Linked DNA regions of Struthio camelus. The protein of the gene in region 4 purifies or fractionates together with the protein of the main gene of each other region. This does not show direct contact. Links are inferred from orthologs where the notes say so. Each region holds a gene or a part of one and is shown on either strand. Other genes may lie near its edges. The genes, in order: PLEKHM1, VDAC2, ARL8B and RAB7A.

The links.
Region 1: the proteins of RAB7A (region 4) and PLEKHM1 purify together in Homo sapiens (affinity purification with western blotting; 5 studies listed by BioGRID and IntAct, with this or other methods). This does not show direct contact. The link is inferred for Struthio camelus from reciprocal best matches to the Homo sapiens genes RAB7A and PLEKHM1.
Region 2: the proteins of RAB7A (region 4) and VDAC2 purify together in Homo sapiens (affinity purification with mass spectrometry; 3 studies listed by BioGRID and IntAct, with this or other methods). This does not show direct contact. The link is inferred for Struthio camelus from reciprocal best matches to the Homo sapiens genes RAB7A and VDAC2.
Region 3: the proteins of RAB7A (region 4) and ARL8B purify together in Homo sapiens (affinity purification with mass spectrometry; 4 studies listed by BioGRID and IntAct, with this or other methods). This does not show direct contact. The link is inferred for Struthio camelus from reciprocal best matches to the Homo sapiens genes RAB7A and ARL8B.

Annotation. Positions count from the first base shown.
Region 1 is NC_090966.1:116,404-124,023, forward strand, and holds the start of PLEKHM1 (pleckstrin homology domain-containing family M member 1), read left to right. Parts: upstream 1-4,616; 5' UTR 4,617-4,710; intron 4,711-7,620. Other genes in the region: LRRC37B (leucine-rich repeat-containing protein 37B), read left to right, coding at 1-640, 744-839, 1,883-1,947, 2,892-2,952, 3,055-3,209, 3,957-3,996. UniProt on the Homo sapiens protein: Acts as a multivalent adapter protein that regulates Rab7-dependent and HOPS complex-dependent fusion events in the endolysosomal system and couples autophagic and the endocytic trafficking pathways.
Region 2 is NC_090948.1:26,044,048-26,051,214, reverse strand, and holds the start of VDAC2 (voltage-dependent anion-selective channel protein 2), read right to left. Parts: upstream 3,019-7,167; 5' UTR 2,926-3,018; intron 2,580-2,925; exon of another isoform or gene 2,380-2,579; intron 2,316-2,379; exon of another isoform or gene 2,218-2,315; intron 1,875-2,217; 5' UTR 1,854-1,874; coding exon 1,820-1,853; intron 1-1,819. UniProt on the Homo sapiens protein: Non-selective voltage-gated ion channel that mediates the transport of anions and cations through the mitochondrion outer membrane and plasma membrane.
Region 3 is NC_090955.1:2,490,734-2,498,553, reverse strand, and holds the start of ARL8B (ADP-ribosylation factor-like protein 8B), read left to right. Parts: upstream 1-4,810; 5' UTR 4,811-4,968; coding exon 4,969-5,091; intron 5,092-7,820. UniProt on the Homo sapiens protein: Small GTPase which cycles between active GTP-bound and inactive GDP-bound states.
Region 4 is NC_090955.1:6,976,568-6,983,533, forward strand, and holds the start of RAB7A (ras-related protein Rab-7a), read right to left. Parts: upstream 3,001-6,966; 5' UTR 2,823-3,000; intron 1-2,822.

The DNA.
Region 1 (7,620 bases), on a different chromosome or scaffold from region 4:
GCACGGGCAGCAAGAGAGTCCATGTCTGAGTAAAAGTAATCAGCTTTTCTACAGGACAGACTATGAAGTTAATCCAGAGGAAGAGCCCACACCAATAAAACCTAAACCAGAGCAGAGATTAAACACTGCAGGACATTTTTTCTATAACCTATTGGTTAACAGCAGCCGCCGCATTGCAAGGAGTATGCTAGAGAATACGTCTAAAGACAAGGCTTCCTCTCCAGGTGGGCACTTACTGGGCATCCGTCAAACTGACGAAACACATGGGAAGCATCAAAAGGAGGAAGGATTTGATTTCCTCAATAAACCAAGTAGTTCAGACAGCCCAGACACCGCGCCGGTTCAAGGAGACCTGTTTGAAACCAAGTTCAAATATCACCTGCGCTTACTCGTCCCAGAGAAAGCCCTGCGGACGTTCATTGCTCACGTGGCACGAGCCCTGAGGATAGACTGCAGCCTGCCTGCGGTCCAGCTGGCCTGCACAAAGATGGTCTCGAAGATGGGGCTGCTCTTGAAGGTACTCAGTGAGAGGCAGGATCACCAGGGAGCCTCTGCTCTCGCAGGCCGGTGTTTCCTGGAAGGGAACGTTCCCAATGGCACAGCCCAGCCCAGGGCGGCAGGCAGGAAACTCGCAGGGAAGGTAGGACCAACACTGGATATCGCTGGATATGATTTTTCTGGACAATGGGGAATGGAAGGAATAACGGTCTCTCCCTTGCTGATTTTTTCTTCTTCTGTACCAGAAGAAACCAGAGTATGCCTACGGCAACAGGCTCCTGGTGGCAGTATCGGTGGCTGTCATCATCATGCTCTTTCTCACAGTGATTTGTCTTATTGAGGTAAGCAGATAACTCCCTTGACAGACAGCTGCCAGTCAAGCCTTGTAGCTCGAGCGCACAGGGCTGGGATGATGCCTCCCTGTGTAGCTCGTGAAACCCAGAGCATCAATGTGGATGTCTACGGACATGCCGGATAGCTCAAGAGCTTTTTTTCCAACCTTTGAAGCTTGTCATGACATGCACACCACATAGCTCAGCGTGGGTTCAGGCCCTACCATGGGGGCTCATCCCAGCATCTGTCACAAGCTGTCCGGAGGTCACCTAATCAGACTGCCACAGCTCTCTTACCCACTTCCCAGTTTCTCTGAGAGTGCTGTGGTTCTCTGTCATCATAGTTTCTCCCATCAGCCTGTCTCTGAGTTTTACACTGCAATCCCTGCTGTTCATCACCCTGGGCCTTATGGGATCACCTTTTCCAGGCTCTTCTGCCCCTGTTCTGCTCTCCTGCCTGTGCCAAGTGCTTTCAGATGTACAGCAATTCCCCTGCTACTTTCACACTTGCCAAAACCAAGCTTTTCTGCAAAGTAACAAACGTTGGAGGGCTTCCCTAGCTATCTAGCAGCTCAAAATCTCTCAAAAAGAAGCTGCTGACCACTTCAGCAAGGTGCAATGGCTCAGTGTGGGTCAGAGCACTGCCAGAGCCAGGCAGAAGAGAGGGCACAGCCTCATTTAGTGCACTTCTCCTTGCAGAAAGTCTTTATTTCTTTAAAAGCCTACCTACCTACATGTTTAGGATTAGCTTTAAACAGGAGGGGAGTACCCTGCAAAGCACTGCACAGATAAGAAAGGCAGACATAAACATTTCTGAGATTAGGAGAGCTCTGGGAGTTCAGGTCATTTCTAAGGCAAGGAAAGCTGGGAGCTGGGAAGGGAGGATGGGCTCTTTCTAAAAATTTTGCTTCTGGCACAGACTCACAAATTTTGCTTCTGGCACATATAACATGCTTGGTTTAAGGAACAACCTTTTGGCCTCCCTTGTTTTGCAGAGTATGACAAGAAAATCCTGATGTAACAAGTCTCTCTCTCTCTCTCTGCTTTACCAGGTTTGCTCCCAGAAATCTGCAGCTGCTTCCCAACCCCAAACCACCAGTAAATCACGACTGAGATGGTAATTACTCCCTCCACCGTCCCACTGCTGGGCCACAAACAGTCTTTACTCTGAACAGCGCCTAATCGTGGAGCCCCCCAAGGACTCAGGCACTGGCTGCAGAGGAGTCACTAGTCACCAGGGTGGATATGTTTATGTAGCTTTTTAACACACCTAGAAAAGGGACCCCAAAGTGTGAGTAATCAGCACCACTATAAGCTCAGATCTCAACCAGCACCTCCACAGACCCCCCAGCAGCCTTTCTCCTTGCAGTGCAACCAAAACAGCAACCATAAATGCTGGCTGCAGCAGATATGTTGGCCCTGGGCTCCCACGTCGTGCCACACCCCCGGTTCTCAGCTCACTCAGCACTGGCCTGACCATGCTTTGTAGGCAAGAGAAAACACCTCTCTGCCCTGGTGCCCAGCATGACCCTTCTCTGATGTACGCAGTGACAGCTCTGCCCCCACTTCTCCCTGCCCCATTCCCCGTTCCCCAGAGAGGCTGTTTAAGAGCTTGCTCCTCTCTTCTTGTGATGCTCTTGTTTCCAGGCTAAACTAGAACTAATTCCCAGGCATCTTGGCAAACACCATCCCTTCACTTAAAAGACTCGCCTTTATGGGGAGGTTCATCTTCATTAGGGTCCGATGAAACTACCCCAAGTAGGTCGAGGTTTCTGCCACGGCAGGGCACTGACACCCACTGCAGCCACCCCGGCCATGCCACTCTGCAAATGGGCCAGGAAAGGTAAATTCTGCAGAGATGATGCATAAAAGCCTTTCTCCTTCCCTTTCTTTATCCCTAACCCACTAAATCCAGATGTTTCACAGCATCATAAACGCCAGTTGCCTGACCATAAACACGGTGCTGTACTGAGTAGGGGGACCCCAGCAAGGCAGGGTGCAAGTGACCTTCTTAGCACTAACTGCCATCACCAGCTTCCTTTACTTTTTATCATTCTTAAGGTTCTTTCAGAAATTCCTGCCAGGCAGATGGAGCAAGAACACACATGACCTTACAAAGCAGGTAACAGCAGAGGGAACGTGAGATGTGTGTCCCTCTGCCCCCCTCACTGCGCTCCCAGCTATTTCTCATATCTGAAACATTCCCTTGCTTGATGCTTCCCAGGGCTCTCATGTATCAGATCTGAGCAAAAACAAACCGCTGTGGCTTAGAGACATGTACCAGCCCCTTGATTCCCAGCATAAAAAAAACATGGCTCAGAAGTTGTACGATGAAGAGTCCTCAGACGAGGAAGAGATTTTCAACAGGGCTGAACTAAAGTAAGTGGGATGGTGACAGCGCCTGTGTTTGTCTTTCACCTCTCGTTCCAGTGTGGGAACTGCCAGGGTTTACCTTTGCTGCCTTGCTGTTATGTCACCAAGAAAGGTTGCCATCACAGTGATGTGCAGTTGCCCAGAGCAATTGCTGCAATTGCTGATGCCACCACCTTGTCACCCAGGTCCACCCTGAGAGTGGGAGCAATGGTCCCTGTCCATGGAGGAGGGTGCTAGGGAGGCCATGTGCTCAGGGTGCCAGGTGCCCAGCCCTGCCGGATGGGATCAGCAGGGCTACAGGGGATGGGAGAAGGGATGAGCACGGTGCAGCGCTGCTGCTGCCCGTTTAGCCCTGGTCTTGGCTGTGGTCCCGTTTCGGGATCTGTGTCCTGTGAAGCTCACGTCCAGCTCACTGCGCAGGGTCACCTCCTCCATCGCCCTCATCTTCTCTCATCCTTTCTCATCCTTGTTGGACTCAGCCACAAGTCCAACCCAACTTTAATTTTGTTCAGCTTCTGGGAGTGCTCCTGGTGCAGCTCAGCATGGGTGCCCCACAGGGCTCACTCCCCCTTCCCCAGTAGCTTCAACCAATTTAGCTGACTTTGTGGCAAGTTGCAGGGACATGCCATGCCAGGGGTCCGTAACACCCACCTGCCTAGGGGCACCAAGCACCTTGGGGTGCTACCTCCTTCACTGTCCCTCTGCCACCTGGGGGAAAGCCCAGCTTGACAGCTGCTCTTTTCTTCTCTTCAGGAAGCAAGAGGAGCTGCCAGCGCAGCAGGCGCTGGACTGATATGGGGCTTGGGGGCTACGCTGTGCCTCGGGAACTGTATAAAGTTGTGATGTTGGCTGATAGATACCAGGGAACGACTTCAGAATTTACTATTAAAATTAGCAGGTTTTTCAACAAGTGTGAGCATTCTGCGTGTGAATGGAAGCGTGCATGACATGCATGTGGGCGTGTCCAGGGCCGTGCATGCACATGCACACACATGTGTTGTGGCTACCGGAAGGACAGAAGGGACCACGGAGATGAGGGTCCTGCCAAAAGGGTGGGAACGAGTTGCTTGGGCCCCTTGCCATGTTGGGATGCACCGCGTGTTTGTGTGCACACGGCAGTGCTGTGTGCGTGCATGCGTACATACCTCTGTGAGTGTATATGTGTGCATGCATGTTTGTACATCTGTGTGCGCTTCTGTGTGTGCTAGCTTGGGCTTGCGTGACTGTGCAGGTGTGCCTGCCTGCACTTGTGTGCGTGTGTCGCTGTGTGTGCTTGTTAGCATGCCTGCCTGCAGATGTGCGCCTGCGTGCACATAAGGGTGCGCGTGCGCGTTTCCTTGTAATCAGCGCGGTTCCGCCCCCGGGGGCTGTGGTCTCACAGCACCGCCCCGCCCCGCCCCGCCCCGCCCCGCCCCGCCCCGGCGTCACGGGGGCGGAGGGCGTGCGCGCTCCCGGCGCGGCCGGCACTTCCGGGTTGCCCAGCCGGAGGCGCGGGGCCGCGGAGCCGGTGAGCGGGGGGGGTCGGGGGCAGCGGGGAGGGAGGTGAGTTTAAGGGGGCTGGGGGGAGTTAAGGGTGGAAGTGGGAGTAGAATGGTGGGGTGGGGATTACGAGGTGCAGATGGGGTGAGGGTGGGGGCTGGGGGGTACAAGGGGCAGGGGGTGGAGGGTGGGCTGCGGGGAACAGGTTGCTGGGTGAGGGGTGCGAGGGGCCGGGGGTGTGGCTGAGGTGCAGGTGTCAGAGTGGGGTGAGTGAACAGGGGGCTGGGGGGTTCAGACCCCCCTCCCCTTGGGGGTTCAGGGCAACGGGGGTAAGTTAGGGGAGCGGAGGGGGACCAGTTAGGTGCAGATGGGTGCAGGGTGGTGGTGGATGCATGCAGGCAGGCGCCAGCCTCTTCTGTCCCCGCTTCCCGTGAGTGTTGCCCTTTCCCCGACTCACCTCCCGACAGCTCCCCTTGCCCGGCTGCCTGGCACGCAGCCTCCCGCAGCTGCCAGGAGCTGCGTCCCCTCAGGGAGCATGGGCACAGCGGCTGCTGGGGACCTGTCGCCAGACTTGTCCCGGATCCCTGCTCGGGATGCTGTCCCATGCCAGGTGCTGTGTCTGTGGGCAGATGTGCTCTGTGTCTAATTATCTGCGGTGGCCCTGTGCCATGCCTGTCACGGTCTTGCTACTTTTTTAAGCTGCTCTCTCCTTGCAGACTTAAAGGGCTGGTATGTTAGATCAGCAGTGCAAGCATAACACAGAGCTAAAACTCACACTCTCCCATCAGTCGCTCTGATGGTGTATTAAAATCCCTCTTGCAGAAGAAAATTCAGCCTAGTGGTAAAAACGATGGTGAAAAATCTACCATGTCCCTCAGTTGTTTCTTAATGGCTTCCGTGGTTAAAAATGCCCCCTTCTTGTCGCTGCTTTACTCCCTGGCAAATCTCATGCTGATTTTGCCTGCTGAAGAATTCACCAACTTCAGAAACCTCCTCTGTGGGGACAGACCTGGATTGAGGTATCTCTTCTACATGGTTAATCCTTATTTTGCTCTGAGATCTGGAAATCCCTCCCTTATGGCCCTTCCTGATGTCTGCAAATTGGAGGTGTCTTTCTAAAAAGTCTGGATGTTGGAGCTGGACTGGCTCCCTGCTAAGGCCTCACCAATCCTGCACAGAGAGGCTCCACCATCTTTACTGAAAGCCTTGATAATCCCTCTTCTCACGTCATAGTGCTGCCTCAGTTGTATTTATTGCCAGGGGCCTTTTTGAGATTCCTTCCAGAGTGACTGCTGTCTGCATTTGGGTGTCCTGCCTTGCGGTTATGTTCTGGCAGTAAAACCTAGCACTTAGTGGATTTTGACCCCTGTTATTTTATACACATGTTTCAATGCACGTTTTCATTTGAAATGTGATGGCTCTGTGGCCTTTCCCTTTACAAACCATGTCAGTCTCTGTGTTGCATGTGAGCCTCATCAGCATTTTTCCTTCTCACCTTGCCCCAGTACTGCTGCCTCCCCCAGGGCTGAAACAAGGTGAGATGTCTTGTTCGTTGGTGTCTTTTACTTCCAGTATCATCTTTCTGGCAAACTGGGGTGACCGAAGTCCATGTGCTAAGCCCGATCTTTGCTCTCAAGGCAAAGCTGGAGGCAGAAGTATGAGGGAGAGTGTCAGCTCTCCATGGGTTACTTCTCTTTTGTCCATAACCATTTCCTCCCACAGAGGATGTCACACATCTTTGAAATGTGGAATTGGAGGTTATACTGGAGCTTTCCAGCCTCCACTTCTTCTTTGAAGGCAGAGGCCAGGGAAGAGCCAGCTGGATCAACAGGGCAAGGAGGGGAGGAGAGCTCCCTGGGGTGCACAGCCCAGGGACTTTGAGCTGAATCTGGTGAGGGTCAGAGTGACAGGAGCTTCAGGGTGCTCGTATGCTTCATGTCCTCCTCCCTGCATCCCCATGGGAGCTGCCCAAAGCTGTAGTCTGCTGCTCTTCCAGAAGGCCCTAGGAACAGGGCAGGAAGCCCCCCTACAATGAAGCTGTCTTCTCAGCCCAGCAAGCAGCAACAAAAGGGCCTGGAGGCCTCCTTGATTCTTGATTTGCCACATGAGGGTTATGCATAGTTTCAGTCGCGCGGAGGTGACGCCACCCCTGGGAGACACGGTCCTGCCTTTGCCTTGAGCTGGCTGCGATCTGTGCAATGGAGCAGCGAACTGGATCAGGGAACTCAGTCTTCTGACAAATAACCTCTGCTGGTGCCTGGGCTGTGAGCAGCGAGATTTAAGCACTTGTTGCTTGGGCTGGAGAAAGCGGTGGGCTCTGAGATGCTGCCCCGGACTGTGCGCCTGCGAAGCAGATGAGTGGGACTGCGTCCCGTGGGCTCCCTGCACCACAGTGTCCCGTTCCTGCTCTCAGAGCTGCCTGGGGTCATCATGCTCTCTGATTCAACCTTGTATTTACTTCAGCCACATGAGCGTCACGTGCATGGAGAGCTTTTACTGCCACATGCCCACGCCATGGATCAGATGCTCCTTTCCATGGGGTCCCTTAGGTCGTTGCTTATATCTTGTTATAGCAGAAAGCACTGACACCCCAAACCTCTCAGCAAGGTTCATCCCAATAAACCTTACTGTGGTTAGAGATGCCATAGCCTGTGCAGAGATGTTGTCTGCCTGCCAAGCCAGTCCCAGGAGGACTCAGTATGTACTGATAGTGAACGTCTATACAGCTCTCTCTGATTAACAGTGTATTATGTTCTTTATAAATGGCATTGTTCCATTTAAAATGAGCTGTTTTCAACGAGCTGGGCAGTTCTTGTGTTGAGCAGAAAATGCAGAGTTTAAAGAGCCAGTCACTTCTGTTAACTTGCTTTCAAACAGTGTGATACCTTATTTCCCTGGTTGCAGTATGCGAATGCCCTGCAGTATCATATGGCCAGCA
Region 2 (7,167 bases), on a different chromosome or scaffold from region 4:
GGACCTCACCTCACCTTCCTAAAACATAAGAGGCCCATCCAAGCCCAGCTTAGCCTACACATTTACACCTATGCATTTACAGTTTAGCTTTAAAAAAATAACCATTCTTTAGTAAGGCACTCTAAGCTCTACAACCAGGTCACCATAGCAAGACATCTAGCTCTTGCTGGAGATTACAAAACAAGTTTGCTTTTGCATGGAGTTAAAGTAAACCTGCCCCACTCTGAAAAAAAAGGTAAAGCGCTTAAAGGTTAAAATGGTGTAGCCCAAGTCAAAGTTTATTACATTACAATAAATTACATAAGCCTCAGGAAGAGAAGATTCTATGGCAGAACAATTATCAATCTCAGCAACAAGTCAGAAAACGCTTCCTATTACTTATGCAATAAAAAAGCAGGTGTTATTCAGACCAAATTCCAAGGAAGTGTGGGACACTGCTATTTCCTCACTCTACATTTCTGCTATACAGCAGCTGAATAATTCATTAGTAGTTTAGGTAATTTAGAAAAAGTTTAGCTATGTATTTTTCTCTAGTAAGTGGGTCTTTCCTTTAACTACCATCTCTAGAAGAAAAACTATTTCTAGTTGTAAAGTTTTGTAATAGCCTCTAGCACAAACGTATTTTGACAGTTAAAATAAATGAGCCTTCTGCTTTCGTTTTAAACACTGTTTCCCATCTGAGTAGACAAACCACCAAAGACAAGAGATTTATGCTAAGCAACAATGTCCTGGGAAGTGAGTAAACTGGCATCTGTGTCTAAACTGAAAGGATTACTAGAGCAAAAGGATAGTGCTGCTTTATCTGGCCTAGTTAAGCATCCTTCCCATTGCAAGGAAACTGACAAATGTTTGCCTGACATTCCAGCCTACAGACAAGTGCAAGATGCGTGATAAAAAAGAGTTAAAACAACTTTCACACTGCTGTTCTAGTCCTATGCTAGCAGGAACAGAATATACAAAAGGGCAAGCCGTAAGTTAATTTTGGCTTTGCACAATATCTGATAAGCCAACGTCATCAGCAGAAAAGCCTATTAAATTAAAAAAGGGCAAAAAATTTTTCCCATTTCCTCCACTGTTGGTAGGTTAGCTAGGTTTGTAAATTCTTACAATCAGAGATAGCTTTCTTCAACCCTATTTTGAATTGCCTTTCACTTAAAAGGTGATTAGAAGTGCTTAAAATAGAGATAACATACAATGACAAGAAGTTTGTTGTGACAGCAACTATCTATATCAGATAATCTTCTTCCTCATTTCAAAAACATAGAAAGTAATTAATTCAACTGGGATCTTCATCCTGACCTTTGCTTTATCCCTCTTTTCACACAACCCTAAAAAAAATGTTGAATTACATCTGTTATTCAAGAGCTCCAAGAATGATTTCTTCTTCTGTTAGAGAAAAAAAATTAATCTAACAAAAAAAAAAAGCGTATAAACGTTGTCAGAATTATTACATCACCTCTTTCCCTCGAGGTACTATTTCAAAACTCTTCTACATCTTGTAACTAAACGAATTCCAAGAATTTCTCTACAGATTTCTAACAACTTTAAGACCTCAGGATATTAAAGATCAGGCTGAAGGGCATATTTAAAATAAAGAAATAAATATCCTTGCAGCTTTAAAAATTCTTGGCAATAACTACATTAAAATTGTATTCCAATATTGCAATCAGCATGGAGAAGTAGATTCAAAAATATATTTGGTTAAAAAAAATATATATATATATTTATATATATAGGGCATGACACTGACCTTTAAACTTCTAGTACTACTAAAGCTTAAAGAACTCATTACCCTTGCTTCAACTGTCTCCCTACTTACGTCTCGGAGGCGGACATGCTGGAGAAATAGTCATGGCTAGGCCAATTTAGAGAATCTACGGAGAGGGGGGGAAAAAAACGAAACATCCAGAGATGAACTAGGTGTTCAGAAACCGAAAGCAGGGGGAGAGCGGGGCCTCCCCGGGCCGCCGGACACCGCGTGGGGAGAACGGGCGGCCCCCCCCGGGCGCGGCGGGAGACGGGCGCCCTCGCCGGCGGCAGCACCCAGCGCCCAGCGCCCGCCCGGCCCGGCGCCAGGGCCAGGGCCGAGGCGCCCGCGGCGCCGCAAGGTGAACTCCTCGGCGCGGCCATCTTGGGCATCCCGGCCCGGCCCGGCCCGCGCGCCCTCCCGCCGCCCTTCCTGCAACCGCCGGCGCCGCGCAGCCCGCGGGAGCCCACCCGAGGCAGAGGGAAGCGCGTGGAAACGTGCCGAGAACCGGCCCCCACCCCCCGGCCTCCGCCTCGCCGCCCTCCCGGGCGGCGGCACTGAGGGGCGCCGAGCAGGGCCCCGCCGCCGCCCGCGCCCCCTCGCCCGCCCGCCCCTGCGGCCCAGGCCGGCACCTGGCTAGGGCGGGCGGGCGGGCGGAGCGGAGCGGGGCCGGGGCCGGGGCCGCGGGCGGGCGTCGCCGTGAGGAGGCCGCGCTGCTGCAGCCGCTGGCACTGGAGGGCGAAGTGAAGGAGACACCGATGCGCCCGCCCGCCGCCGCGCAGGACCCCAACGAGCCGGGGCCGCCCCGCCGGCCGCCTCCCCGCCGCGCCACACCCCGCGCCGCCGCCCGGCCGGCCGCCGCCGCCGCCACCAGCCGGGAGGCGCCGGGCGCTGCGGGAGACGCCGTGGACCCGGGCGAGAAGCTGGGCGGCGGCGCCGCGGCTCGACAGGCGCTCGGCGGGGCAGCCCCGGCGGCGGGGCGGGGTCCTGCGGCGGCGCGGGGCCCGGCGGGGGGCGGGGCGGGGCGGCGGTTGCCCGCTGCTGTCGGCGGAGGCCGCGACAGCCGGCGGGGCGCTCCCTCGAGCAAGGGCCGCCACCCCTTTCCTGCCAGCTTGCGTTCGCGCTGGTTGCCCAAGCCGCCCCCCCCCCAAAAAGAACGCCCCCGCCCTGCACCCCACCGCGTAGGTCGGACCCTTGGGAAACCTCTTCAGGCGGTGGCTGCTGCCGCCGTGGGGAGGAGCCGCTGGCGGGAAGGGCCCGCTGGCTGCGGTGCGGCAGCCGGCACGCAGCCCGCAGCGGAAGTCACCAAGTCACCAGGGCAAATGGTTGCTCAGCCAGGAAACCCTGGTAGAGGCATCCTCACGATTTCTAGTTCACCTCTGCGTAGTTGGTTTCTTAATCAACATTTCCTCAAAGGTAGTAAAAAATGTGTTTACAAATACAAATTACAGCGGCACAATACGAAGAATATATTCAAGACCAGTGGTTTAGTAGAATACATGGTACAAAGTTAACTTTCCAGCTTACTAGCAGCAGATAAAACCTCCACAGTTTAGCAGTAAGGCCCAACATGATGCCAGCCGGTATCTGTTAGCTATATCAGAAGATAAGCATCCCTCTTTTTTTCCTGTGTGCAAGTCCAGTACTTTCACAACAGAAGACCCAACAGGTTAATACAGATAATTTTGAATAGGAGAGCTTGGCATGACACAGAGAAATGTGTCTTGATGAATTAAGAAGAAAACCACATGCTGAGAGGATAAACAGCAATAGGAGACAATGGCAACTAGCACATCTGAATGTGCATTGGAACATACATTAGGAGTAAACAGAGATCCGATTAAGTAAAGATGGATTGTGGGCATAAGTTGTTCATTATTTAAAGACATGTATTTATTATTCATACCCAGTGTAAAAATTCATTTCTGAATAGAGATTTAGTTACTTACACAAGATTTCAGTTGGCTTTTTTTTTCCCTCCTCTCTCCTTTAAGAGGAAGATTTTAGTCATGGTTTCACTTTATTTTTTAGCAATCCAGGAAAGCACCAAGTACTCCACCCTGAGTGAAAACTAATGAATCACTTTCTTTACAGAACAAACTACAGACATGGTCTGTACAGTAGTGCATGAACATCTCTATATTAACATGCTTGGCTCCTGCAGATACAATTTCCATCTCCCTTTCCTTTTCACTCTCATTCTCCCCATTCTTCATGCTTACAACGATCCCTTATTTCCTACAGCACATTTTCTAAACCGCAGAGAGCCAAGTCTTCGGGCCTACAATAGCTATCCATCAAAATTACTCTGGATCTTTCTTCTTAGCATCCACCTCAGGGCCTGGGCCACTTTCTTCTCCTAACGTTCAGCGCACACACGTCCTATGCGTGCGCGCCCGCTCTGAATGAGCTGGTTTCCACTCTGAACCAAGTATCACACTTGTCTGAGCCAGTCAGCCATTTCCTCCCACTCGTAGTTTAACTATGTCTGCTTTGCTTGAATACAGGCATGAGTATGCATGACTGACATCAGTGAATCATACGGTTTGCTGGTTTCACTTGGAGGAAAAAAAAAAAAAAAACCTGAATCACTTTAACATTTAAACACAATCTGATGTGTATGTTCTTGTAGTAAACTTCCAAACTCTACTTATCTATGTAGTGTAGTCATGATTACTTGATAAAGAAACATATGTGACCAACCAAAAGAGAGCAAGTGACTGGAGTCTGTATCAGTTTCCAATTAAACAGGTTCAATAAGTTCATGTTCACTTCTAACTCAAACCTGAAGTTATTGTTTGCCCTCCTCTCAAGATAGAGGCCTTCACACATTAGAAACCGAGCAGAAAAAGAGACCTTAAAGAAAGCCATCGAATGAACAAGTAAACTGAGACTTTTCGTTTCAGAAGTGAATTGGCTGAGGGAGTATGAAAGGCATTGTAAAAGTATAACCAGCAGGGAAAGGGTGGAAAGCAGCTGAAGCTGGCAGGGAGCAAGTTTCAGCAAAGCAGGTGTCCTCCTAACCAATGGAGAGTTAAGCTGTGGCATTCCTTGCCACAAGATGTTCAACATTTGAACGGGCTCCCAGGGGAACGAGACAAGTTTGTGGAGGAGAAGCCCGTGAAGGATTACCAACTACAAATCTGCTGAGCCATTACATACAGCTGTGCAATCCCTCCCAAGTCAGAAAAACCACTGAGGTGCAAATAGAGATGTCATTTCAGCTCACTCTCTTCTTATGCTCTTACTTAGGCGTTCATTGGCAACGATATTGGGCTGACTATGCTTTTTGTTTCATAAGGTGCAACCACTCTCAAATAAACCAGGCACGTGAAAAGCCGTAAGAGGGGACCCAGGAAGGGTCCACGCTTTCAGGGTACCTGAAGGGCTCATCCACTACAGACTTGATGCCTTGTAATTTTTTTTCTCTCAACAGTTTTAAAGTAGCCTTACTTCAGTTTAGGTTAAATAATTAGGATGAAGTTTAACTGAAGCCAACTTTTAAGATACGCTTAAAACAACACACACAGAAGCCCTCACCTTTAAATAAGCTGCACAGATTCATACCTAGGTAATTCCTCATCTCAGAGGCGCACCATTGAATGTTATTAAGCCTGCAATTTTATTGCTGAGAAGGCAAGCAGAAGGCAAGCTTGGGAAGCCAATAAAAGAACCAAGTTGTTTACAGGCCCTATGGAGACTAACGGAGGCACAGAGCTCCTTGCACCTACATAGTTCATCAAAGCTGGTTGCCCAGAGCTCTACAGCCAAAGCAAACTAAAATCCAGCCCTTGCTGTTAGGGCCTGTGGCGATGCTGTGCACTCTACTAGCATACTCTCAGCGTTAAACTATCATATCCCCCAATAAAAAATAAGAGGAATAGTGAAAAAAATTCTGTTAAAGAAAAAGGAGAAACTCAAATGAAAACTAACCCATGCAGAGAAGCCTGTACTTATTCCTTCTTTTGGATTTGTGTTTGGCTATTTGCAAATTCTCTCCCTTTCTTCTTCTTCTTCTTCTTTTTGTTGCAGTTTCCATTTCCTCTGGATTTTTTACCTCCTGTAGCTCAAGGAAAAAGCAGCTTTCTAACAAAGCTAGGTACAACTGCCTGACAGACCTGCAAACCACCAGGCTTTCTAACATCCTAAAATGAGTAAATTAATAGGCTTCATTCTGTGGAGGTGATACCTCCTGGAAAGGGAGGGGCAATTGGAGTTTTTTGCATAAAAGGATTAGGACATTATCTCAGCAGCCAGTAAGAGCTTTCAAATAATTAAATGCTGATTTGTAAGTGAAACAACCATTCTTGTAAAACTCATTGGAAAAACCCAGAGAGAGATGCCCAGTGTTCCCAAATCACTTAAGTGGATCAATAGATTTGACTGATTGGTGCAGCAGTTGTCACCTGAAGTAAACTCATTTCTGCTGTGTTATTAACATTTCCCCTTTCATTTCTGATCAAGCTTTCTATCCCCTGACCTTACTACTGTTTGCTTTGCAAATGTTTGTGTCTGATATCACACAGAAGATGTTTTTCCCCGTTTTATACCCCAGAGAAAGCTGGAATCAAAGACAGGACCAAAGCATGGATTTTTTGCTTTTCAGTCCTATATTTAGAACATACCTCTCATACACCATTACACTTAGCCATTTCAATCATCTGTATGCCATAGAAGATTCTTACCGTTTGTGACTGCACATCCTATTACCACATAGTAATAGCAGTTGGACAGGTAAAGCTAAACTTGCTAATGAATTTTTATCAAGCTTTGATTTGTATGCTGGAAAATGCCCGTAATTAAAAAAATAAATAAATAAAGAAAGAAAAGTAGGCAGTGGCTTCTTTCTGAAAGACTTAGGCCAGGCTAGCTTTGATGTGGAAAATACTTCATGGCATGAAAATACTCAGGTGAACAAAATGACACCATAACTACTCCTATGACTTGAGCAAACGTATGAAAGAGCTTCAGCAGGTTTAAAGCAGTGAAATTTAAGCTAATCCAAGATAATGATTATCTCTAAATTCCACCATAGACCTGAGGAGGAAAAAAACACAGCCATATCTTGGAGTAAAACAGAAACATTTATTTTTTTACATTGTCATGAACTAAAAACCCAATCAATAAACATTGAAGCCTGTGGCAGAATATGAGAAAATACTAGGTGTCTAACACAAATAAAGGGTAATCTTTACCATGTTATGCCTTGCATTAAGTACTAGGACACCTACAGTTGCACCCAAGAGATTCCTTCAACTCAACACCCTGCCAGGTGAAGACCTGCAGCTGGGAGCAAATAGCATCTCTGTAAATCCCTGACAAGCCCAGACCAGAAGGAGCGGCCCAGAGTTTAAAACAAGGAGAGGGGAAAAAATGAGGAGTGGTATCTGGGTTTCTTGCTACCAGAAACTAATGACTGG
Region 3 (7,820 bases), about 4.5 Mb from region 4:
CGATGTCCGTGCCCGTTGCCTTTGGGCAGTCGTAGCGCGAGGCTGACACGTAGCTCACGCGCGCTATCGCCCGCCAGCCCGTCTCCTGCTAGTCTTTTAACTGCGACTTGAAAATGCAGAACAGGATCCAGGCACCACCTGCCGGCGCTGAGAAGCAAGAGTGCCTAAGCTGGGCCGACTGGTAGGCACAACTCTCTCTCCATGCGCTTCGCAAGTTGGGAGAGTTTCTGCCGCCTCTGACACGGAGGAACGAGGAGGCCTCGTCTCTGAGGCACCACCAATTTCAAAGGCATTTTGCAAACGGCCGGCTCAGTCCTTCTTGAAAGGAAATTAGTGTCAAGGCGAATTGAAGGCACGTATATCGGCCTCCCTAAAGTATGAAATATGACTAAGAAGAAATGCAAAACCGCATAATAACATTGATGCTATTATTTTATCACGGCTCCTCGTTCAGCAGTAGACGGAAGGGTCCCGCAGCACGCTTCTGTAGCTAATCTGATCAATTAGTTTCTTTGCCTGCATCAGCTAGTGGGAGTAGTCTTTAGCTGAGGGCAAATTAAAGAAATGTCCAGTAAGATATTCTATTTTGAGAGGAGCCGTCCTATTTTCTCATACTAATGACAGGCTCAGAAATCTGCGCACGGTTTAGCTCCTTATTAGAACTAATTGGTGCCAGGCATTCCCTCCTCTTTGATACTGCTAACCACGGGTATGAAATTTTCTGAGTTAATGAAGCATTAAATGGATTAAGACCTTTGAAAGCGTAGCTCATATCACAGCTTATTTGCAGGGAGTATATTAGCTGGCTTTTTATGGATACAAAGGAAAGCCATGCTTTGGGTTGGGAAAATACCGGCGCAGCCGCCTCCCCTACCGCTGGGGAGCGGTGAAATTTCTCATTTGAGGGCTGCAGCGCGGTGTCATTCATAGCAGGTGCCTTCCAGGACGGGCCACGCGCCGTCCTGCACAGTCCAGCTCACCGCGTTCGCTGCAGCAGGCAGGTACGGCAAGGAGCTTTTTTCCCTGCGTGCAGCGCATATAATTCCTCCTGCGTGACAGTATGCAGAGAGAAACCAGTTAGCACAGCTCTCCCAGCAAGGCCGGGGAGCTGCCAAGCAGCTGAAGGGCCAGCGACAGGTTTCGCGTGGATCCCATTGGTGCGGCTGGCAGGGCTGACCGCAGACTGTTGTGCCCTCGCGTGCAGTCCCCGTGGTTTTACGCCAGAGCAGTTCTGTTTGCTTTTTCAGTCCTGTTTGACGCTGGTCTACGAGAGCAGATTTGGGCCCCTCGTTCTTATCTGTTGACTCAGCAAAATAATGCAGCGTGATTTAGAGAATTTCCTTCCGGCAGTGATGGAGAAGGAGGGCCTTTAACAGCAAAAATGAAAATACAGCTTACTGAAATGACTTGTGACCACTAGTTTACCAGGTGAGTTAGAATATTCCCATGTACGCACATGTGCACATCGCTTACCCATCAGTACTAATTTGGCACCATATAATACTGATGAAGTCTTCTGTATTACCTTTGGTGATGTCAATGCTTTCCTGAACGGGCATGGAAAAACCTGAAGCTTTTGTCCTTAATAGGAGATGTAGAATATTTTTTCTTGCGTTATCCAAACATTATAAACTTTTATGGTTCATCTGAGGATATAGCAATTTACTATTTTACATGATTACGTAAGTTTGGTAACTTAGGAACTTTGTAATTCAAATAAATGTCTACCCAGCTGTTTATGTATCCTAAATATATTGGGGCTTATTTATCGTAGCCCCGTGAGAGTCCAGCGGTTCTCCTCTTGTGTTTTGTAACCTCCAGGGAATTTCCAGGAAATGTCTAGACGCAGAAAGTGATGCTCTGACTCCTGTTTTTACATGCTGTTTTCTTCTCATGTGGCCATCTGCAGACAGGTCCTCCTCAGATGCCAGAAATATCCTGCAAGCCACAGCAACAGTAATTGCATTGCTCTAAGTGCTCTGCACTGCTGCAATAATGAGTGCAACGATTCCCAGGGTGCATATGCAGACTGCTGACGGTGGAAATGAGGAGGCAAAGTCAAAGTCTAAAGGCCTGAGAAACCCTGTATGGAGCAGTCCATAAAACAATGTAACGAGAGCAGTGCTCACTGAGGCCTTTCCGCTCATTGTGAGAGGGATTTTGGAGAGTCCTGTGATTTGAAATGAATACCGAGAACAGAAGATTAACTTGAGATAATGAATTTTATCATTCCTTTTAAGCTTAAACACACTTGCAGGCCTTTTGTTATACTATACATTACAGCAAGATTTTACTGGGAGAAGCACTCATAGTGTTCAAACGCTGACATATGAGAACCTGCAAATGCCTGAACTACTCGGTGGCTTGAGAGAGAATAGACATAGCATCCCCATTAGCTGGCTCTGGAAGCAGCTGGTAATAAATCACAAAGTCTATTGCCTGAAAACCATGCCACAGAGGAGATGAGCCTTGCTTTACACAGAATTTGCAATACACGTGGAAAATCTCCGTGATATCTTCACAGTACCGGAATAGACAGGGGGAATCATGTTGTTGTTTTCAGCTACAGAACTACTCAGTCCTTCTCACATTATTTTGTTCCAGTGGTTGAATTAGGAAATTGGATTTGCTCCCAGGAGCAAAATACTCATTTATCACCTCATGGCAAACATGATTGCTGTATAAGATGTGCTAGTGCCTACTCCGTGTACTCCAATGCGTGCGCACCTCAGGACGCTTTTATGTGCCAAACAGCGATCCATATCTAGGGAAGCACCTGACCGCTCCGACTGGCTCTTTGACATACCACAGCTTTTAGCTCCTGCAACATCTTGATCAACTTATATGTTAGCAAACCACGGTCAGAGAGAGACTCGTGGAGATTTTCTGCGCCTGTGCTTTAACCCACAAACAATTAACAAAGAACGCTACATGCTGCCAGATCCTTGAGGAATGCAATATACAGAACAATGCACTATTTTGCCTCCCCCAGAAGGCTGGTGAGCGCCCCACGCTTCGGCGAGCGGTCGGGGCGCTCGGTTTTTTTTCAAGCGAGACCAATGCTGATATTAATGACGACCCTCCTGGGATATGCCAGTCACATTTCTGGCATGTTAGATCTACCCATTTATGTCTGTCAGTGATAAAATCGGTGCTCGTGATGTGTAAGCATTGCAGCTGCATTTTCCCCATTAATTCTAGGGAGCCAAACCAGAGACGGCAAAGAAACCTGAGCGCGAGCCGTGCAGGAACCGGGTGCCACTGACTGTTTCCGCTAGGGATATTGCGGGGCTCAGCTATTGAACGCCACACGCTCGCGTATTCGGGTCAAACTATGACATTTAGCCACTGGAGGGTAGCGTGGAGCTGTGCCGCGGCGCGGAGCTCAGGACGGCATGGCGCAGGGCTCAGCTCCACCCTGGCCCCCTTCCTCGCCCGTGGGGCTTCCTGCCAGCTCCATTCGTTGCGTGAGGGTCTGCCCGCGCTTAAAATCGGTTCCTGTACATAAGGTCATCCTCTGCCAGGTCTGGAGTCCCCAGAAATGCTGCGGAGAGGGGATTTAGCGAGGGCAGAAGGGGGGGAAGAGAGCCCCGGGCCAACGTGCAGCACCCACGACACCGCCGCTCTGGTTGTCTGCAAGGTCCAGCAGAGCCTCGCTGGGGCCGAGGTGGTTTTTAGCGCCGTCCGACCAGGGATGGAGACCACCGCCCACCCACCAGCAGCTAACGAAGCAACAGCGGCGACGCACAAGCTGCAGCTAATCCGTCGCCGCCGTCTTGACTCTGTTCATCCCGCTGTGCGCTACGGGGGCGTGGGTCCCCCAGTGTTTGTAAAATATTTCGATATAGGCAAGTGCAAAGCCGTTATTTTCCCAAGTATTGGCAAGCAACAAACCCTGTCCGATACCCCACGTTTCGTGCTTCTTCATGGTTCGAGTCACGGAAACGTTTCGGCCTCGGCCTAAGAAATCCTGAGAGGGGGAAAAAATCATACTTCAAAGAGGGGGAAATGTTCTCATTTCTTGGGCAGCTTTTAGACCCCTTTCGATTTCTTTTTTCTTCCCCCCCCCCCCGGGTAAATCTGTATTTGCTCGACTGCCATCCCTGCTGCCCCGGCCTCGCGCAGCCAACGCCAGGGTTTAACTGCAGGGCGGGTAGCGACGGGGGGTTTTATGGAGGGCCCGCGCGCCGGGGTCCTCGGCGGCGCCTCTCTGGGGCGCGGACGCATCGCTTGGAGCACGGTGCGGCATTTATGACGGAAACGAAGCTGCCCAGCCCCCGAAGCGCAATTACGAGAGTCCCGTCAGCCTTGCTTTCACAAAACACACGGGGCGCGCGCCGCTTGGCTCTCCCACTCGGCTCCCGAGAGCCGAGGGATCCCCGCCGCCGCCGCCGCCCGGACCGGCGCGCCGCAGGCCTCAGCCAACGCCTGGGTGGAAACGCCACGCAGGAGGGGCGGACGCCGGGCGGGCAGGCGTTTCCAGAGCGGGGCCAGTTGTGCCCGAGTGGGCTGTGAGAGTGGATTTTAAGCGCAGGTGGGCGGCTACTTTTTTTTTTTTTGGGCGGGGGGGGTATTGCACGCCTTTAGCCGCCACCCCGCGCTGCCCACAGGCAGGCGTTACACAAGATGGCGGGGGCGCAAGATGGCGCGCGGGGGGCGAGGAGGGCGCCCCTCCCCCCGCCTCCCCGCCGCCGCCGTCCCCCCCCCCCCCCCCCGCAACGGTCCTCCCGCGGCGCTGCGCGGCGGCGCTGCCGGCAGGGGCCGCTGCGGCGCGGGCGCGGCGGGCCGGCGGCGGCGGCGCGGCCTCTCTTGGCGGGCGGCGCGGCGGCGTCATATGACGGCGGCGCGGGGGCGAGGCGGGTCGCGTCGCAGCGAGCGGGCGTCGCGGAGGCCGCGCCGGAGCCCGCGCTGAGGCAGCGCCTCAGGGCCGCCGCCGTCCCCGTCCCCGCCGCCGTCCCCACCGCCATCATGCTGGCGCTGCTGTCGCGGCTGCTGGACTGGTTCCGCTCGCTCTTCTGGAAGGAGGAGATGGAGCTGACGCTGGTGGGGCTGCAGTACTCGGGCAAGACCACCTTCGTCAACGTCATCGCGGTGAGCGGCCGCCCGGGGCGGGGGGGTCCCGACCGGGCCGCGCTGGGCCGCCTCCCCCCGCCGCCGCCGCCCTGTGCGCTCGCAGCCTCCCCGGGGAGCGGGAGCCCCGTGGCCCTGCCCGGGCCCGCTGGTCCGGGGCCGAGCGGGCTGGGAGGCCTGCCGCCGTGGCGCCTCCCGCGGTGCTGAACGGTGTCCGGGGGAGGGGGGGAGGCTTGCTTGGCTTCGTCTGTGCCCTGTTTTTGGGGGGCACGCGGTGGAAACCGCTCCGAGAGGTGAGCTGCGTTGGGGGTGGTCTGGGAGGGGGGGGAATGAGAGGGAGGCCTCGGGGGGGGAGGCCCCGGTGGGCAGCTGGCGCACCTTCTTATTTTGCAGGGGGTATGACCACCTGGTGACATGGGAGCAGCCGGGGTGAGGCTGGGTGCACCTCCTGCCTCGGATCTGAGCAGGCCTTGTTTTGAGGCTGTGTCCTTAATGCTTTTGAGTGCTGCTGTTTGTTGCTTGGATGGGTAACTCGATAGGAAAAAGATTGTTCTTCTGTGTTTGCCTATAATCCTTTTTATGCTGATTAGCTGTCAAAACGTAGTAAAGGTATTGCATAGTTGAGGATATTAGTGCTTAGTGGACCTCATGGTAATCGCATGAAGTGGATCAACCCTAGTGAAAGGTAACTTTTCCTCTACTTAGGCTAAGCAAAAGTTGCTGGATTAACCTGAAGTGCAACTGTTGAGGTTGTTCAATCATTTTTGTTCCTGCTTCCAAGTTGCAGGATAATTTGAGTAGAATTATCTGCAGTAGTAGAGCTGATATTGATAGTAGTTGAGCTGTGATTACAACTAAATTTGGGCAGTGGGGTTACTCTACAGGTTTTTCCTCTCCTGGAGTCCTGGATGGCGATGGCCTTGCGCTGCTGGTACTACACAAACAGGAAAGCAAAGCAGTAGTTTGTACATCTCGTTTGAGGAGTTATTTGTGAAACTATACTCTAGATATGTAGAGTTGTACTAGTTGCATAGCAATTCAGCCTATGTAGATTGTCTCCAGTGGTAGAAGTACTGCTAAATAAAGCTGACATCTTTATCCAGCTTGCTTTGCTAGGAGTTGAACCTTACAGCTGTTCAACTGCACAGTAGGATCACATGCAGAAATTTATCTGAGTAGGTGTCATTCAAGTAGCCTTGCAAAACTGAGTGAATTAAGGAAGTTATGCATAGTATGCAACCTGGTTAGGTTAGCTGGCTTAGGTTTGGAAATAGCAAGTCACACTTCCCAAGTTTTCAGTTAGGGAATCTAGTGACTTGTGGGGTGGGGAGAGTGGAATGGAGTGAGTATGTCAGACCTCAGGGACTTGGTCACATTTTTATTACTGTGAAAACAACAAGAAAAAATAAACAAAACTAGCTTGAGCTGCACAATATTGCTTCTCGCAGGAAGAGTAATGCAGCCCATGGCACGCACAGCTCACTTCTTGTCAGTTGCTTCTTTGGCTTATTTTAATTCCTGATGTGCATTTGGAAATTAGCACCCAGAAAAGAACTGCTCTCTGCAGACCAGTTAATGGTCTCGATGGAAGTAGCTGTCAAAGCATTGGGATGCTATAAAGCTAAAATGAAAGGAGTGACACAGCAAGATGCTAGTCCTATAGAGTAGCTCTGAAAACTGGATTGCATACCAGGAACCTGGTATGGCTTATAAGGTTGCTTCCTGTGTAACAAAGCTGTTGCCGGTCTTCTAACAGTGTGTTTAATCTAATGGAGTTCTCTAATGTAATCTTCTGTGTTGCGTGGGTACCCAATCAAATCAAGCATATGTAACCGGCTTGAGATTTTTTTTTTTCCTCTAGTTACACAGGAGCCTGGACACAACTACTGCCTACCATGAAGGTGGAAAAATCCATGAAAGGCGAAAAGTCCAATTCGACAATGACATTTTTCTAGGTTGATAGTTCTCCTGGGCAATATTTATGCCTCCAGTGTAAACAAACACTTAGCTTGTCTGTAATCACACCAAGCTTAGTCTGACTAGAAGGTTTAAAAACCTTAGCAGGGAGATCTAGTTGTAGCTGGCTACAAAAAATGCAGCTTCTGCTTTGCTGGGGCTTTATGTTAGTCACTGTCTCTAATTAGATATTAAACATAATGAAAATAGTTTTCCATGTGCATGAGTAAACTTGCTCACAAGGGAGACTATCATTTCCTTCTGCTCCTAATTTCCATAATGTAGGTGGCCTATGGCTCTTATTCAGACATACTCTATGTCACTGCTGTGTTGCATCTTGAGTTGAATTCTTAGCTGAGGACTTGAAATGTCCCTTACTTGCTGGAGTCTGCAGTATCTTCTGTTATTTGCATCTCTCCAGCTAGTGTCTGTTAACAGGCTTTCATCAGGCTTGCCGTCAAAGCTGCAAGTCATAGCCATGGTGGTGTGAGATGGTATGACAGAACCAAGCACCACAGTCACGTGGTGCAACTGAAACCTGACTCTAAACTGGCTCTGCTTCCAGGCTATAGGCAGTGAATATAGGTGAATAGTAGGTTGCTGATCTTCAATATCAAAGAAGAAGGCTCACTCTTCCTACTGTAAAATCTTGCTTGAAGCCCAATAGACTGATCCTCCATTCAAGTGTTTGGCACTGAAGCTCTTCAACTTAACGCTCTCATATTTAATGGTCAGGAGAGGAGAATTAAATGGGTGGGGAGGGAGTCTGACTCTCATGATGTGATTGTCAGGTT
Region 4 (6,966 bases):
CTTTAAAGCCCAGTTCAGCATTTCAGCACGTTCTCATCTTGACCCTCTTCCACCAAGAGGAAAAGCTTTAAACCCCCTGCTGTACTATAGGGGATCTTAGTACCAGCTGGTCCCTAGAAACCAGAGCTTAAGAGCAGTATATGTGACAGTTGAGAAGCCCAGACGACTGCTTTTTGGGGACACTGGCAGCAGGCGAGACAAGAGAATTCTGTGCCTGGCTATCAAATGCCCAGGCTACTCCAGATACTCAAGAAATTGGTCCATTATAACATGAGGGAGAACTACCAGCACACACCTGTGAGCCCAGAGACCCAGCAACTTGTTTAGGGAATGCAAACATCCAACCATCCTATTCCACAGCCTTTACTCCTAAACCATGGCTTGCCAGGCACCCATCTCAAGATGCAGCACTGGAGGAAAACGCATCCTAATCAAGCGCAAACAATTTTGTTTACAGCCAAATGCTAAGTTCTGCATAAACTAGTCTCATTTTCACAGAGAAGTCAGAATAAAATCCAATACATGTTAGAAGCAAGGCTATTTATAGTTGTGCACAGATGGTTTGATTGCAATTGTCATGTTTCCTCAAGGACAAGCTTTGCCAGAGATTTGCTCTGGCAGGTAGTTCACATGACCTTCTAGCACAGGAGTTTTAAAACAAGAGCTTTAAGATGCTGCAGAAACTGCACCCGGTAGCCCTCTTGTCCCTAAACATCCAGTCTGGGTAGTAAACCAAGCAGAGCAGTATCTTCCCTAGGTGAGTTCTGAAGAGAGCCTACAGCAGAGCCATGATTTCACTTTCAGCTAAGAACTCATCCATGTTGCAACATGCCTATGCTGCTTTGCACAGTTTGAGCCATTGGCTTTGGGGGAGCAGGGACAAGGATGCCTGCAGCGTAGCCACTGCAACACAGCTATTTCAGCTTTTAAGCTTGGCACCTTCGTATTTTACAGTACCATTCCTAGAGGGCCACGGTGAACTATTAGTAGGGCATTTGAGGACTTAGACCACCAAGTGACACCACAGGCAAGAGGCAAGTTTAATATAACTGCTATTTTGGATCTTACTGGTTACATTTAATTCTGCAGGTTAAGAGAACAAGGGACTGCCACAGGTTTTTAAAACAGTTTTCCTTATTGAGGAGGCAGATTAGCCTCATCTTACAGCTTTTCTACACCAGAAGTAGCCTTTTAGCATAACAGCACACAGAAGATAAACGGCAGCACACTTGAAAGTAACAGTATTACAGCTGCTTTGCATGCTAAAGACTCAGGCCAGACATGGTGGGTCTACTCATTAGTTCACTTAGCACGAGTCATGTGTTTAGTCAGCTGTTGGAAGTCACAAGGGGAAAGAGACAAGTATACTTGTTCTTCCTAAAGTAGTACAGCAACGAGGCCCTGGTTATTTAAACAGGGAATAGTCAAATGACTCCACCCACTTTCACCTCAAATACTGCTACTAAGAAAACAGGCTACATTTGCTCAGGTAGCCTGGCCCTGGAGGAAGCATGGCCCAACTGCAGTTTCCATCAGGCACTACTAGTATCATCGCAGCTTGTAAACATAAAATAGCTGCGAGTAAGCCTTCAAGTCAGAGCCAACCAAGTACTGTAGCACAACTGGTTAGGTACCATTCTCCCCCAGAAAGAGAGCTCTTCACTCCCCAACCTCAATTTCTACTTGCTACAGTAATACTAGATGCAGAGTACTAGGCAAAAAACAGAGTTGGCTGGCCAAGGACAAGTATGGGAAGCCCTAAAGCTTCCAACTTAGTAATTGCCAAGTAGAGCTCAGCTTGCTTACAGTTGGGAGGACTTGGTTCTGCTATGTGCTCTCAGTTTATATATAAAAATCCTACACAAACATATTACAACAGCTCTACTTGTCAGCTAGTATTTTTATTTTTGAAGAAGGCAATATTAAGGAGTCTAGATGCAACTCAAAGGATTAAGTTATTCAGTAAGACTCATGCATTTAGACACTGAGGTCACCTCTCTTTAGGTTAAGAGGGCCTTTTTATAGCTACTCTACTATTAAAAAGAATTCCTCTACTTACAGGAGACAGGACAGTTGTCCTAAGTACTATTATTAGATATTTCCATATTTATTAGCCTATATGGACCTGCAGATTTGTAACTTATCACTTACTTCACTACACACTCACAGCCAAAAAGCACTTTTGACACCTAGTCTAATACTTCTTAAAAACTGACTCAGGCTTTACACAAACACACGGAGCTACTTTCGCAATAAACTGCCAGTCTTTTCAGCTGCCTGTTCCATCACGTTAACTGCTCCGGGGGCAAGCTGCTCACCCCTAAAAACGCTACCCACCGACCACCCCGGGCAGCGCTTGCCCCAAGACCAGCGCCGACGACACCTTTCGGCCCCAGCCCTCGTCACGTTTCGAGGGGAAGCACCAGCGGAGCCGCACACCGCCAGCGACGCGCTCGCCTCCCTGCCAGCCACCGCCGGCAGCCGCCTGAGACTTCTCCTGAGGGGAGGCTCCATTGTTCGGCGAAAGGCGGCTGGGCCCGGCCCGGCCCGCGGCGGCTTTGTCCTCCCGAGCGGCACGGCGTCGCAGGCCGCCCCAAGCCCGTCGAGGGGAAAGGGGGAGAAGAGGAGGGGGGGGGGGGAGCGGCGAGGCCGCGCCCGGGGCCCGGCGGCGGGGCAGGGCCCGGCGCCCGCGGGAGGGGCCCCGCGCGGCCCCCGGCACCGGGGCGGAGCCGCCGCCGCCGCCACCCCCCCCCCCAACAACAACCAGGCCCCAGGGAGACGGTGCGCGGGGAACCCCCGGCCCCGCTCGCGGCCGGACTCACCGTGCTGCGTGTGGCCGCGGCGCCCGCCCGAGACTCGCTGCCTCCCCCCACTGCTCGCCTCAGCTCGGCTTTAATGGGACCCAACCGCCTCCCCGCTTTCACTTCCGCCTCCCCCCGACAACTTCCGGTCACGGGGGCCCGCCCGGCGCGCGTGACGTCAGCGCGCCGCCGCGGGGCCAACGGGAAGGGGGAAGGGGCGGTGGCGCCGGCGCCGGCGCGTCACGTGACGGCGGGCCGGCCGCCATGTTGGGGCGCCGAAGCCTCCGTGTGCGGCTGGCTGCGTGACGGCTCCCGCCAAATGGCGTCAGCGGGGGGGGGGGGGGGCTGCAGCATGTCATGGGAGGAGAGCAGGTTGCCCAGAGGTTGTGGAGGCTCCATCCTTGGAGATAACTGGGCACCCAATTGGACGTGGCCCTGGGCGAGCTGCTCCGGGCAGTCTGGCGTGAGCAGGGCGCTCGGACCAGGTGTCTCCAGAGGTCCCTGCCGGGCCCAGCTGCTCTGGGATCCGGAGTGAGATAGTAGCAACAGCACAGGAAAAAAAAAAACAAAAAAAAACCCTGTAAATTAAAATATGGCAATTTAAGACACATTCAGGTTGATTAATCAAGCAACAACCAGTGCCAAGATCAGCAACGAAGGCAGATGCAATGGGACTACGTAAACTAACTCTCTAGCACCTCGCTGTAGAAAAGAAGCATCATCCTGGTGGTACAAGCGCGCTCTGTGTTTCCTACTCGGCGTTTTGGCCGCGAGCGTGTTGTATTATTCAGCGCTTACTTGAATATTCTGTTGTGTTCATCCACGTCACATGATTATTGTAGCTGTAGTTGGCCCATAAGCTTGGGAACGCAAAGACTAAAGCAACCAAGGAAAAAAGTATTTTTAGAGCTCGTTGAAGAGGCAAAAGTAATGAAGCCACTTATAGCTTCATTAAAAAAGGAAATTGCTTCTGAACAGTATACACCAGGCAGGACTTTTAGCTTGGTAACAGAGTGCTTTTTCTTTCCTCTTTGGTCTTTATTTTGTCCTGAGACAATCTGCCACGTAACGTTAGGCAAATTGCTTGCCTTCTCTGCATTGGTAACACAATTTGCCCGTGCGTAACCTGGAAACAGTAATGCTTACCCCAGAAAGACGCTGCAAGGTTTGATTCATTAATGCTTGCAAAGCGGTTTGAGATCAACAGAATTATGATCGCAGAGCACAGCAAATGTACTATTAAAATCCTTATAATCTGTTGGGCCTGGTTTGAATCCCTTCACTATCCATCACAGAGAACACGGGGCATGCTATTTACAGTGTCCTACTTTAGAACTAAAGTCCGACAGCAGTGGCGTAGGGGACTGAGCCCGATTTGGAGTCTCTGTTGTCAAGGGAAGCCTCCACACTGACTGCTGTGAAAACCACCTCGGCTCCAAAGGACAGCCCAGCCCAAATTCAAGTACACACGTTCACGCTCTCCCTTCCTTATGCCAGCGCCGGCTCTCGTCTGACCCTGCGCTGAGTCACTTCAGCATTAAATCTGCAGACAACTAACACGAAAAGGAGCACAAGATAATTTCTCTGCCAGCTTAGTGCACTGAACTGGCTTCATGCAGGCTGCAGCTGAAGCAAGGGAAGGCGTGGGTGAGGCAGGACACCGTCATTGCTCCTTAGACTGGTTTAGGTTGTGGTGGAAATGCAGACTAACAGAAGGCAAGTGGGAGCCAGGGCTGCTGGGTTCTCCTCCTGTGATGCTGGCAAGTTTATTACTGCTTTCTAATTTCTATATTTGCAGGACTGTGGCACTCTCCTCACAAGACAGGGGAGCCCATGACATCTACTTTGTTAATGCTTTTAAGGTGCTCCATTAAATGCAGAGAGCTGCAAAAGAACCTGTTATCAATTAAAACAAGGACCTAACAAAAGAGGAAAAGCCTTGCTTGGTGAAATGATGGAGAAAACCCTCGCAAAGATGCATGTCTTCTTTAGATGAGAAGGAAAATATCCTCTCAGCTCAGCCCCAGGACTGCAGGCCCTGGACACGTGGACATGCCAACAGCAGGTGGGGCAGAGCACTTGGTTGCCCCGGTCTGCATAGTTCCCTTAGCAGGAGACCCCCCACATGCTGGGCTGTTAGGAGCAGACATTAATGGTGAGTTACAGTGTTCCTCTGCTCTCTTTCCTGAAAGCTTCCTTTTTCCTTTCTTTTTACATGATATGAAAGCCAATCAAAAACCATGGGTGAAAGTTCTTCCTTCTTCTCTACCACCGAGCGATCCTGGCACCAGTGTAGCGTAAAACCTACATCTATTACATATTTTTATTATCCTGAGAATAACCTCACACCAAGCTCCTGTGTCACTTGCTAGCATGATCAACAGCGGTGTCATGGACTAATTGCTCATGATGAGTTTCTGATCCTCTCTGGAAATGCTGCATGTCCTCAGACTGACGAGGCAAGATCCTGCCTGCCTGGAAGTACATATGAATCCTGGCGCTCAGGAGGACCGATGTCAGCAGAGAGGTCCTTGCTATCCATGTAGGTCTCCCGTCTTTTGGCACAGCTCACACTGACGTTCACAGTGGCAGAATGAAAGGGAAAAGACAATGGTAAGAAAGTGGTAAACGGATGTACTGAGTGGAGGCTGTTGTGTTTCTGCCTGGCCATACGGACATACACATGCACACCTTCCCACCAGAAGGAACCCAGGGCCTGGAAGAAACCGGAACGCTGTGCACTGAGCAGCCCAGCCCAGCTGGACAGCACAGCTTAGCGTCAGTAGCCTGCGAAGAAAACAGCGTTTCTCATCTGACCCCTTCATAATAGCAAAACCCAATGAAACCTCTTAAAAATGGATCAGTTTGAAACTCAATGCCAGTTGTTCCCAATCACTAACATCACTCTGAAGAAATTAGTTCTCTCGCTCTGAGGGACACGAGTGAGTGGGTCCCTGATTTTATAGCGATCAGTCTTCAGACATTTACCAGTGTAGCAACCTCAACATACTTCACGCACCCATCCCTCTAAACCAGGAAGTAAGAATATCTCCAGCTTTGATCTTGTTCTCTTTGTGACAAATCATCTCTATTTACCAATCTTTCTGATCCAATTAGAAACAATAAAACATGATATGCCTTATACCATCTCTTCCCTTGTCCTTTGACCGAAATGGGCCCTCCCTTTCTAGTCCCTAAAAAGACACTGTGAATAGAAATAGCATGGACACAAGAACACCCGCTGGTTGCTAATGGGAGGGCTTGCAGAGAGGTCTACGCAGAAAACCTGCACGGAAGCTTAGCTGTAGTAGCTGCAAACCGTAGACATTAGCTGTGAACATGTGACTTTCCCAAAAGTGCCTGCATTCATAATGCGCTCACCACCTTCCCATGGACACACAGCCACTCCACCTCTGGCCATCTGTGACATTAAAAGCTTGGAGTGAGCCCTGCTCATTCCTCTGATACTTATTCAGCAGGCCTTCCCCCTCCTCGTTGGACACATCCCCAGGATCTTTCCTTGCCTGTGGAGCCTGGGAAATTGAGCACCAGCCCATCGTGACAATAACTGCTCAGTGAAAACTGTCTGTCCTGTGATCCTTGCTGTGCTCTCGCAACTAGCTTTGCAATGCTTTCCTCTACCACCTCTGCCTTTCCAGACCAGCTTCCTCAAATTATCATTATAATGATTTAACTTACTGAAATAAAAAAGAGGAACTAAGATGCAGCAAACATACAATATCTTGCTTTTGTATTCCAAGCTTTGTCACTCTTTGATTTACTCTTGTCTAAAGCAGGTTCACTCTGCCTCTGCTGGCATTTTGTACATTAAAAATCTTCTGCTATTGCATGACCACCTGTGCATTTCCACTGGCAAGAGTCTTTTGCCTGCCCTCGTCTCTAATTCCTGCTTGCAGTACAAATACCACTCCATTAATCTACTAATGCTTTCACCTTTGCAATCCTCAGTTGATTTCTAAGTGTTACAGCAGCAGCAATACATGAAAATAAAAAGCTGGCTCTGGACAAGACTTGATCACCAGACACCAACCATAGGAAGCAATTGTAATCCCTTTAGCTCATGGCAGGTCTCTGATCCATGCTTCTGCTGATGGGTAGAGAACAGGGCACAGATTGCAAGGGATTACTAGCCTCTATACTCATT